Elephas maximus indicus: one gene and its partners. The protein of the gene in region 1 purifies or fractionates together with the protein of each later gene. This does not show direct contact. Links are inferred from orthologs where the notes say so. Each region holds a gene or a part of one and is shown in the gene's direction. Other genes may lie near its edges. The genes, in order: YAP1, AMOT and AMOTL2.

What was found.
Region 2: the proteins of YAP1 (region 1) and AMOT purify together in Homo sapiens (affinity purification with western blotting; 17 studies listed by BioGRID and IntAct, with this or other methods). This does not show direct contact. The link is inferred for Elephas maximus indicus from reciprocal best matches to the Homo sapiens genes YAP1 and AMOT.
Region 3: the proteins of YAP1 (region 1) and AMOTL2 purify together in Homo sapiens (affinity purification with mass spectrometry; 10 studies listed by BioGRID and IntAct, with this or other methods). This does not show direct contact. The link is inferred for Elephas maximus indicus from reciprocal best matches to the Homo sapiens genes YAP1 and AMOTL2.

Annotation. Positions count from the first base shown.
Region 1 is NC_064825.1:18,549,566-18,553,309, reverse strand, and holds the start of YAP1 (transcriptional coactivator YAP1), read left to right. Parts: upstream 1-952; 5' UTR 953-1,045; coding exon 1,046-1,366; intron 1,367-3,744. UniProt on the Homo sapiens protein: Transcriptional regulator with dual roles as a coactivator and corepressor. Critical downstream regulatory target in the Hippo signaling pathway, crucial for organ size control and tumor suppression by restricting proliferation and promoting apoptosis.
Region 2 is NC_064846.1:44,576,002-44,579,745, forward strand, and holds the start of AMOT (angiomotin), read left to right. Parts: upstream 1-1,493; 5' UTR 1,494-2,209; intron 2,210-3,744.
Region 3 is NC_064844.1:45,190,561-45,194,304, forward strand, and holds the start of AMOTL2 (angiomotin-like protein 2), read left to right. Parts: upstream 1-961; 5' UTR 962-1,156; intron 1,157-1,182; exon of another isoform or gene 1,183-1,799; intron 1,800-3,456; 5' UTR 3,457-3,517; coding exon 3,518-3,744. UniProt on the Homo sapiens protein: Regulates the translocation of phosphorylated SRC to peripheral cell-matrix adhesion sites. Required for proper architecture of actin filaments.

The DNA of each region.
Region 1 (3,744 bases):
AAACAGACATTTGTTAAGATCGGTGCCTGTTACTGGTACCTATTCTAACTCCAACCTATTTTTGCGCCTTTAACCCCGTATTGACACTACTGCTGGTTTAAGTCGAGCTAACGCGGGGAGGGTTTAAGTGGAGTTTCACCCTCTCCAGGCTTCTTTCGGCCTTAGCCATTTCGCATCTCCTGGCGAGCTGGACCGAGCCTTTTTCCGAGGATCGGCGGGGAGGGACCGGGCGGGGCGGAAGAACTTCCTGCGGCCAAGGGCGGCCGCGTTCTCTGCACAGACGAGAGCTCAGACCCAGTTTGGACCCAACGTTTCCCATCCGCCCGGCCGTCAGTCCTCGCGGCGCGGAGGTCCAAGCACCCCCTCAGCCTCTGCCCTTGAAGCACAGGCGAAGGACTGGGTTGAGGGCGAGTTGGTCACGTGCGGCTGGGAGAGGCATTGGAAGCTGGGAGTTTGCAGGAATGTAGTAACTTGCAGGGAAAAGTTTCCCTCGGCGGCCGGCCGCGGATTCGGTGCGGGCGGGCGCGCAGAGGAAGGAAGAGCTGGGAGGAGGCGGAGCCGGCGAGCGGCTCGGGCGGGCAGTTCTCTCAACTTCAGTTTTGGCGTCTGAGGCGAGTTTCTGTCTCAGTCGGGCACAGCCGCCGCCGGGGAAAAGAAAGGGAGGAAGGAAGGAACAAGAAAAGGAAATAAAAGAGAAAGGGGGAGGGGAAAGGCGACTAGTTGTCCGGCTTCAGTCAAGGGAGTTGAAGGGGAAAAAAGTTCTCAGGCGCCGCAGGTCCGGGTCTCTCTCAGCCCCTCCCGAGGCGCAGCCGCCAGACCAGTGGAGCCCGGGCGCAGGGCGGGGGCGGAGGCGCCGGGGCGGGGGATGCGGGGCCGCGGCGCAGCCCCTCGGCCCTAAGAGCGAGGAGCGCGCCGCTCCCGACGCCCAGCGCCGCCCGGCCCGCCGCCCTCGCCGCTTCTCTAGTCTCGGCCCGTCGAGCCGGGCCGCCCGGGCGGAGCCCTCGCCCGCCTGGTCAGGGGGTGCGCGTCGGGAGAGGCAGAAGCCATGGATGCCGGGCAGCAGCCGCCGCCTCAGCCTGCCCCCCAGGGCCAAGGGCAGACGCCCGCGCAGCCCCCCCAGGGGCAGGACCCGCCGTCCGGGCCCGGGCAGCCGGCGCCCCGGGGATCCCAGGCGGCGCCGCAGGCCCCCCCCGCCGGGCACCAGATCGTGCACGTCCGGGGGGACTCGGAGACCGACCTGGAGGCGCTCTTCAACGCCGTCATGAACCCCAAGACGGCCAACGTGCCCCCGACCGTGCCCATGAGGCTCCGGAAGCTGCCGGACTCCTTCTTTAAGCCGCCGGAGCCCAAATCCCACAACCGACAGGTAACCTACCCCTTCCCTGTCGGGCGGGCCCCAGGTCGGGGTGGGGATTCCGGGAACCCTGGCGAGGGGTAGGGCTATCCCGGTGAGTTGGAGGAACTGGAGGCCCCCGCTCGGCCGCGGTTTTCGGCTCCCCACTCTTCCTGGAGTCCGGGGCCGAGATTTGTTTTTCCCTTTGGAGTTTCTGCGGTTGCAGCCCCAGGGGGTGCGCTCTGCCCTTCTTCCTTTCTTTCTTTCTTCCCGGGGTTCCCAGGAGGTTGGCGGGAGTGAAGGGGGAGGTGGGGAGGAAGGAAGGGGGTGGGGAGAGCCCGCCCGGGCCGCGGTGGGCTTGCACAATGCGCGCGTCTCCGCGCGCTCCGCACCTTCGCTCCAGCCGCGGCCCGGGGAGGGGGAGGGGGGCCTCTGGCATCCGAGTGGGTGAGTTGCCAGCGGCGGCCGAGTTTGTGAAGTTGAGCCCTGGGCCCCTTTTCCTTCGGGGCCTCTCGGTCCTCTTCAGTCTCCTGGGGAGTCAAATAATTGTTCTCTTGTTTTCCAGTGTTGATTAGGGGGTGGGGGTGGAACTAGTGCTGTTCGTTTTCTTGCTCTTTCTCCCCCTCCCCCGACCGAAAGCATTTATTTTCCTCGCTGCCCCGGCCCATTCGGAATACAGGATCCGGGCTTCCCCTGCCCAGACTTTCCTGGAAGTTGTTTATGGAGTTCGTTCTTTCACTCCTGCACTTCCCTTGCGCTTGGAACTCAGGCAGGCTCACTCTTATCAAACTCGGTAGATTCATGTGTTGGTTTCCCAATTTTAGGCTATTATTTACAGTCTGCTGAAATGCTTTTAAATTAGCCACATCTGCACGTTGCGCAGGACCTGAGTTGAGCTTTACAGTACCGAGGTTTTAACACACAGCCTTTGATAATACCCTGCAGGTTGACTCATAGGCCAAGTCCTGCCTGGTTCAACTCTGATTAAAAGTTAATGTTTGGGAAGCGATGACTAATTCTAGGATCGCCATTGCTTTTTAATTCTTATTGAGGATATGAACATGGCTGCTTTTCCGCAAACACAACGTTCGACTATTTTGTCAACTTGTTTTAATATTGAAGTGGAACTATTTATTAGGAAAGTTTTAACATTCCAGTAGGTCCCGGTAGGTATATATATATATTTTTTTTTACTGAAGGCTTTTGTAGGTGTCGCCCCCCCCCCTTTTTTTTTTTTTGAAGAAGTTGCTATGGCTAAACTTCAGCATAGGAACTTTGGCCAAAAGCTAATTGGTTTTCCAAATACTGCATCGTAGTTTGTCCACTCGGGCTGTAACTTGAGTGGAAAGAAGAGGTTCCCCCCCCCCACCCACTCCCATTCCTCCTCATATTTGCAGGCCTGTAGTATATTCTTGTGGGCAAACCGAAGGAATTTTGGAACTCAGAAAAGCTTACTGTCAAAAACCCGGGTTAAGGACGTGATAGAAAAAAACAGTTTAGCTGCTTGCCTAAACAATTTGTAAGAGGTAGACTTAGGTATGCTTTTTTCTTTAACCCTGCAGGTGAGCTTCTGGGCTCGTTATGGATAAAGTGTGTAGGCATGCACCCTACAGAGTACAAACTACGGTGCTATTTACTTACTATAAGTATAATGCACACAGGAGATTGAATTCCCCATTTTGTGGCATCTATAAACCAAAAAGAATTGCAACTGAAAAGTGAACTTATTCTTCTAATAAGTAATTACACAAGAATTTATATCCAGCAGTTGGTGGGCAGTCTCCCTTCCTTGCCCATATGAATGTAGGAAATTCTAACCTTCTGATAATCAAACTCTAATTCTAATCAATGGATTAAAAAAAAAACACTATATTTTGAATAGTATGAATTTGTGTTGTAAATACTACTGTTCATAAACTGTTAGATGTAAATTCTTAGGTTTATATCATATAACCAAACCAAACCCACTGCTGTGGAGTCAATTCTGACTCATAGCGAACCTGTAGAGGAGAACTGCCCCATAGGGTTTCCAGGGCTGTAATCCATCAAGATTAATCCACAAAGACTACAGCCTTGAAAACCCTGTGGGGCAGTTCTCCGTCCTATAGGGTTGATATGAGTCAGAATTGACTTGATGGCAGTGGGTTCGGTTTGGATATATGACATAAACCTAAGAATTTACATTCAAGAGTTTATGAACAATAGTATTTACAACACAAATTCATACTGTTCAAAATTGAGTATAATTTTTTTTTAACCCATTGGTTAGGGTTTTATCAAAAAGTTAGAATTTTCTATTTTCATATGGGCAAGAACGGGAGGCTGTCCTATCCACAAACTGCTGGATATAAATTCTTGTGTAATTACTTACTAGAAGAATAAGTACACTTTCCAGTTGTAATTCTTTTTGG
Region 2 (3,744 bases), on another chromosome or scaffold:
GTCACTATGAGTCGGAACTGACTCTATGGCACCTAACAACAACAAGAAGAGAATGGTGGTTTCCATGGTAAATGTTCCTCATATTTGTTTTTTCAAGTTCACTTCAGAGATACACAGCATGATTTCCTCTTTCAGTACCAGCACCACAATAGATTTAGGTCGTGGCGCCACTGCAGAACTGTTTAAAAAAGAAATCTCACCCACCCTGGTTAGAAAAGGGGCAATTTATTATTCTAACTGCAGGGAGCCAATTTCATATCCACCTTTAAAGCTGTAGGAAAAAAGTTGATTTTTTAAAAGAAAGCCGCAGAACCTACACACCTTGGATGTAAATGCTTAAAACAGATGAGCAGAATATGATTCCCAAACTCATATGAGAGACTCTCTGCCATGTGTCGTACACAGTAGGAACACATACATTTGTGGAGTGCTTTGTGGTTTACAGAGTTTTCACACACATTTTATTTCCTTACCAATGCCAGGAAGTTAATAGGGCATGTCTTATAGCCTTTATTTACAGATAGGGAAATTAAACGATTTAACAAAGGCAAACAACTAGCTAATAAGTGCCAGAGCCCGAAATGAATTCTTCCCTTGGTTCCAAATTCCATGTTATTCTGCTATCCCTATGCTGTTTCTTGGTGCTTTAGTTTTCCCAGCTGTAAAATGGTAGCTGGTGTTCTCAAATCCCAGTGTTCTTAAGCAACAGCAATTTTTCGTAGCTCGGAAATATGAACACCACATTGATACTTCAGGTACGTTTTACCCCTCCCTACCTGGTGTATTGAGGAGGAAGAAAAGTTACTATTCTAAGTGCTAGACAGTGCCGTAGAGGTGTACCCCAGTCTGCGGATACACTGTCGTACTCTTTTTAAAAAAAAAAAAAAAAGAGACTGAGAAATCAAGCTTCTCATCTTTCTTTTCCCAGAAGTGGCTGGGGGAGAAGAGAGACAATAGCTTCTTGTTTAGTTTTATCAATTTTGAGGGCGGGTGAGGCAGAGGAGCGATTGACGGCTCAATTGACCAATCGGAAAGGAATGCTAAGGTAGGATTCGCCAACGGGAAGCTGCAAAAGAATGGTGGGTGGGATTTGCTCCTCTGGATCCGCTCCGCCCAGGCCAGTTCTCTCAGCCCGCCCAAGAGGCGGAGGCTCCACAAGCCCCGCCCACCTTTCCCCTGCCGTCAGAAGGAGGGGCGGAGGCGCTTGGTGGGGGAGGGGTCGAAGGCTAGGGGGAGCGGAGGAAGAAAGGAGGGTGTCTCGCAGAACCGTGACCTGGGTGGAGGCCTGCTGGTAATAGGAAGCAAGAGGGGAAGGAAAACGAAGGAGCGCTGCTTCTTCCTGCATTATTTGAAGCTGACTTTGACAGAAGCTGCTTCTCAGCTTTTCTATTATTTGTTTTTCTGCTTCCCGCTGTGGGGCGGAGAGCTGCACTGGCTCTCCCACGCGACTCTGCTCCGCTTGTGCCGTAGATTATTATTGTAGTCTTTTCGAAACCCTTTCCTTCCTCCCAACCACTCCTTGCGTAGACTTTCGGTACTCCCGGAACCAAGCCATGCCACGTTCGTAGTAGGGCGGGAGCGAAGGCCCCCACTTTCGCGGGAGCTCCTGGACCCCGCCGTTCAATTGTTTGAAACTTCCCCGCCCCCTGGCCCCGCCTCTCTTCCGCACCTCCCCCCTCTAGGGTCCAGTCAGGCTCCCGCCCTTCTTTCCCCGCCCTCTACTCCGCCTCCTACCCTAGTCCACCGCCAACCCCTCCTCTCCTGGGCGGTCCTAGCCGCTCACCGCAAGAAGAAAAGCCACCCATTCGTCCCCCTCCCCTACCTCCCATCCTTTGCCCAGGAGCTGCCTTCATCGCAGTCACGCCCCTTCCTTCCTAGGAGCTTTCTGGCTGTCCAAGCTTTCTGGCTGTCCAAGCTGGTAGACCCCTTGAATTACTCCTCCATCCCTGCTTTCCTCGCCTCCTTTTCCCCTAGTTCTCTTCCCCCGCCCTCCCACCTCGAGTCTGTCTAGCCTCGGATCATCCGCTGCTCCACCCTCCGGCCCGGTATCCTGCCTGTCCACTGCCACTAAGGAGAGACCGGACGGAGCAGTGAGGAGGAGAGCAGCCGGGAGTTGGGGCTTCCCCCTGCCCATCCCTGGCCGCTGGCCCGGGACTGAAGCCACCTGAGCGAGCAGAGAGCCGTCACCCTGTCTTCGTTGCCTTCAGGGGTAGGAGAAGTGTGGTTACTTTTTACGGGGAACTGGGGCAGGAATTAATGGTGGCATGAACTTGGTCGTGCCCTCGGCGTGAGTGATTCGCTCTAGAAGCTTGTAGAGATGCCCGTGCGCTCTACTTTCTTTGCAGCTGGCCGTGAGTTTTCCAGCATGTGCAGCAAGTTAAATCGATTAAAGAGTGTGCACTCCTTTTCCGTCCTACTTCGGCAAGGAGATGCTAGTGGGTACCACAACTTGATGGTTCTTTAACTTCCTTGTCTTCTGGGGTCCTTGTAGGTCTCTAGGCAATTAATCACATAAGAAACTAAAGACTCAAGGGAAACCGAGATTTACGTTTGGCCCAGCAGGAATATCTGCTCTTATTTCAGATGACTAGATGAGTTTCTCCTCTGTGCTTAGGGTAGGGATGGGGGCTAACACTCCACTCCTCCAGGCGGGGGATGGGCGGCAAGTGAAGTCCGGCTGGGGGGTGTTGAATTCTTGAGGTCTTAAATTCTGGGAGTAATCTATCACGCTACGCTCCTTTTGGTGTATGTGTGTGTCGCTGGTGGTGGGTAGGGGCGGTAGCCCCTTATCAGCTTTATAAGGTTTAATAATGTTGGTTAACTAGTTTTTCGGGATCAGGCAGGTGTCGTGAGGGTCCCAAGCCCAGGCCACTGCGTAGGTGCTTCAACAGCAAGATGGACTTCATCAATATTTGAAAATAAAGAGAAGGAAAATTAGGGAAAGTGACAGTCTTTGTAGACTGTGAGCAGTCCCCTGTAAATTGCCACTAGTAATATTATAATAATTTGCAACAAGGGACTAAACACAATTAAATGAGAGAAAAAAAGGAAAGGTTTGTGAGAAACAGCATTTCCAATCTCTAGTAGATACTTTACAAAGACACTTTAGGGTGTTTTAGTTCAGTTCCCCTCCCATGAAGGGTGGAAATTTGGAAGCAGTTTAAAAATTTTTATTAATTAATCCTCTTCTATTCAGAAAGGAAGATAATTAGTCACCATATTCTTTAATGTTGGAGGGCTAAGGGTATGTAAGACTCCTTGAACTAGGCTTTGTGAAAAGTTCTTTCTTGGGACAGCCTTTGTGAAGCCTTCTCAGTTAGTCCTTTGAGCACCCCCATTTAGTAACTAAGAATAGTTTGAAATACCATTTTCGACATGGGATACAACTTCACCCATCTCCTACTTATTTCCAATTGGGTAAGTATGACAAGCTTATAAAAATGGTGGTGTTCAAAGATCTATTACCGAAATGTCCCCAACCCGTTGCTTATTTGGGAACATATTATTTCCTTATATTTTAAAATAATTTCTTTGGTTGATTTTAATAAGAGAAAGGAAAGCAGGGAGAGAAGGAACTTTGCAGGGTGACAATTTTAAAGGCTATCACGTTTCAGATCAGCTGGGAGGGAAGAGCTGGCTTGACCAAACTGCACTTTATAACTGGCCTGGGACATTTTAATAGCCAGGTGGTTGTAGAGTAGTTGCATCTATTTACAGATGATAACTCAGGTTCCAGCTATTCTG
Region 3 (3,744 bases), on another chromosome or scaffold:
CACTCAGTTGGTTACCAAAACAAACAAACAAAATCCATTGTTTCCGACTTGATTCCGACTCATACTGACCCTACAGGACCAAGTAGAACGGCCCCATAGGGTTTCCAAGGAGCTGCTGGTGGATTCGAACTGCCGGTCTTTTGGTTACCAACCAAACACTTAACCACTGCACCACCAGGGCCCCATTCAGTTCGTTAAAATCAAAACCCATTGCCGTCGATTCCAACTCATAGCGACCCTATAGGACAGAGAAGTACAGCCTCATAGTTTTCAAGGAGCGCATGGTGGAGTTGAACTGCTGACCTTTTGGTTAGCAGCCATAGCACCTAACTACTATGCCACCAGGGTTTCCAATTCAGTTGGTTAGGTGGGTCAAATTAACCACAAGATTTTTCAACCCAGACTGACATTTCCTGTGGATCCAAAAAATACGGGTCCTAAAAGAGCTGTTGAAGGTGTCTGTAAACAATAAAAGTGCAATTCAAAGGTTGCCGCTGGGCGTGAAAGCAGTGGGGGTTAGGGACCAGGCTCAGTCGCAGAAAGCAAAGTCATTTCTTCGCCTGGGGTATGGTCCAGGCCAGGCCGATCTAGGCCTCCCTGCTGCTTCACACACACAAGCTGCGCTGTCGTCCCCTCCTGCAGCAATGCCGGGAGGCGGGAGTCCCTCCGTATTGTTCTGCCAAAGGGTTTAGGGGTGAAGGAATGAGAAGAAGGGGAGAACGGGGGCGGTACGGGGTCCAGAACTGGGAGAAAAATCGGCCCCAGCAGCTTCGACGGAAAAGGGCAGCCACGAGGCCCCTGGGCTGCCCAGGCGGGGAGCTCAGCTGCCGCCGGACGCCCAGCCCGCAGGACCGCCTCCCCGGAGGAAGGCGGGGGCCGAGAGGAGCGAACGGGAGGAGGCGAAGGGCGGAGGAGGGCGGCGGGCTGCGAGGTTATTTGTGGTTCTCTTTGATCCCGAGGGGGAACCTGAAACGCTCACATTCCTGGCATAGCAGCCGCCTCCGGCGCGGGCCGACCCTGGGGCTGCGCGTTGAGGCCAGAGCAGCCAGAGCGTCGGCGCCACTGCTGGGTGCACACCTCCGCCGCCGAGCTGAGTCGAGCAGAGCCAGGCCGGGCCGTCGGTTCCGACTGCGCGGGGCACCCACGGGCCTCAAGGGTAAGGAAGGCCGCTTGGCGCTCCGGGGAGCGCGCAAGGCCAGCAAAGACGCGACCCAGCCGAAGGCCGAGCCTTGGCGCAACCCGGCGTTTTCCGGGAGCCGGAGCCCCGCCGGTTGAGCGTCCTCAAGGCGCAGTGCGCACTTTCGAGGCGGCGGCAAAGCCGGGAAAGGGCCTTTCCGCCCAGGTGACAACGCGCCTTGCGCCCGGGTATCTCGAATTGCGCCGGTCCCCTGCGCTTGGGGAGGGTGCAGCCTCTAGGGAGATCAGGGTCGGTGTTTTGGGTCTCCGTTCGGGCATCGTGGCGCGGAACAGGGCTGGAGTCGCCGCTTCGAGTTCAGGTTGCAGGGCCTTGGGGGTTGGTTTGGTTAGGTAGGGGGGTTACAGGTGTCTTTGCCCCCAGCTAGCCCAAGAATTCGTCTTTGTCTTCCTTGGAAAATCCTCTCTGGAGCCACTAACCGGCTCTCACGTAGAAAGAATGCAGCCTGCAGTCCAGCCCGGTGACGTCAGCGCTAGAGTATTCGGAAAACAAAGAGGGCTTGGAAGGGGGAGAGGCGAACCCCGGACGCTTAAAGACCTCTTCAGGCCTTGAGCTGCGCTCGCCCGCTTCCTCCTGGCGCACCGGTGGCCACCGAGTGCTTATGGTCAGTTGGGAATAGGGGTAGGGCGAGCGTGAGCCCAGGCTAAGGCCAGAGATGCGTTCCTGCTTAGAAAAGGGGTGGCTGGGTGGGTGAGTTTAGAGAGCAGGGAGCGCTAGCGCAGCAGAGGCTGGGGTTGGGGGCGCAGATTTTAGTAAGGGCTCAGCCCTTTGGTATGGGAAAGGATGTGCAGCCGGCGGCCTGACAGGCGTAAACTCAAGGATGAGAAGCCCCAGGAGTGTGCTCTGCTCTCTAGCATAGTGTTGGGGGCCTGGAATCCGTCGGGAGGAGGATTCTGCCGCCCCCCCACCCCCACCCCCCGCCTTCCTCAGCCGGAGACAGCCCAGACAGTGATTAACTTAGGAAATGCCCTAAAGATGATGAAACTCCAGGGCAAATTGGCCTGTTTGCTCTTTTCGTCGCTGAAAACCCCGGGGTCTTGCATCTCTACTCGGGGGGCGGGGGGGGACACGGAATGGGTACCAGAAAGGTTGAGGACGGGGTGCCCTCCTGCCTCACCCCCCCGCCCGGGGCTGGTGGAGTCCTGGGGAGGAGAGAGTGGACTGGGAATGGCTGTTCTGTCCACATGCCAAGACCAAACTGAGGAAGGGCCCTGGGGCTAGCTTTGTGCCAGAGGAGGGCTGCATTCCTCCTGCTCCCCGCCCCCCCAAGACCTGTGGAGGTGTGGGTTTTGTTTGGTTTTGCCTGAATTCTGGTTTGAAGGTTTGTGTTAGAGGAGGCTGTGGAAAGGAGGCCGGGCAGGTGGGCAGCCTTCCAGGGCATGAGCCAGTGAGATGCCCAGTCTTAGAAGGGAACAACACCTTCTTTGGATACTCGTCTCCCTGCACTTTGGGCTCACAACCCCCGGGGTCCCTGCAACCCAAGGCCTCCCAATTTCCCCCTTCGCTCCTCCAGTTGGCTCAAGTAGGTGTTACTGATGTTACAAAAGATGCTGAGTGCCCATCTCCTGTATGCCTAGAGGGCCCGCAGGGGCTTTTCCAAATAGCAAGGTTGGGGGAAAGCGGGGAGAGGTGATCATAGGGCTGAAGGCATCATGCCCCTCCTTTCATTTTCCTGGAGTACCCATGCAGTTACTGTCGGCACACAGAGACTATGTGGCTAACCCACTCACCTTGATGGGTAGGATCTTTTTGCCTCAACTCACACATTGTCCTACTGCACCCTCCCGTCTTTCATCCCTTATCCACCACTTTAGATGCATTTTCTTCTTCCTGTGTACTAGCAGAGTGACTGCCAAGGTCATCCCATGACAGGGAGCCCTGAGTTCATTCTGTCAACAGCCCTTGATTAAACAGAGCCCAGGGTCTGCCCTCCAGGGAGCTCGCTGGTTCAGGGGAAAGCAAGGGAGGTGGGTAGTAGGCTCAGGGGGTAAAGGGTAGTGGGTTGGCTGTGCCGAAGCCAGGGCTCAGGCATGCTTCCTTTGGGGTAGATCTGGCTAGATCTGAGCTGGTCCCCATGGGCCTGCCCTTGAATCACTCATCTGCAGGGGCTGTGATTGCTGATTGATGACCTTCTGGGCTGCTGTTGTCTTCCTCTAGTTGTAGTAAGTCTTTGTGAATATTATTATGGTTGGACCAGGCTGTAATGGAAAGTCCTCCCCTTGCCCACGTGCTCCCACTCATTGTTCTCTCTCTCCTCTCAGGTGCTCTGGGCCCAGGTGCTGCTGGCCATTCTCCAGGCAGGTGTGTGCAAGCCAAGGAAGAATGAGGACGCTAGAAGACTCCTCGGGGACAGTCCTGCACCGCCTCATCCAGGAGCAGCTGCGCTATGGCAACCTGACCGAGACACGCACACTGCTGGCCATCCAGCAGCAGGCCCTGCGGGGTGGGGCTGGAGGCACAGGGAGCCCCCAAGCCTCCCTGGAGATCCTGGCACCTGAGGACAGTCAGGTGCTGCAGCAGGCCACGCGGCAAGAGCCCCAGGGCCAGGA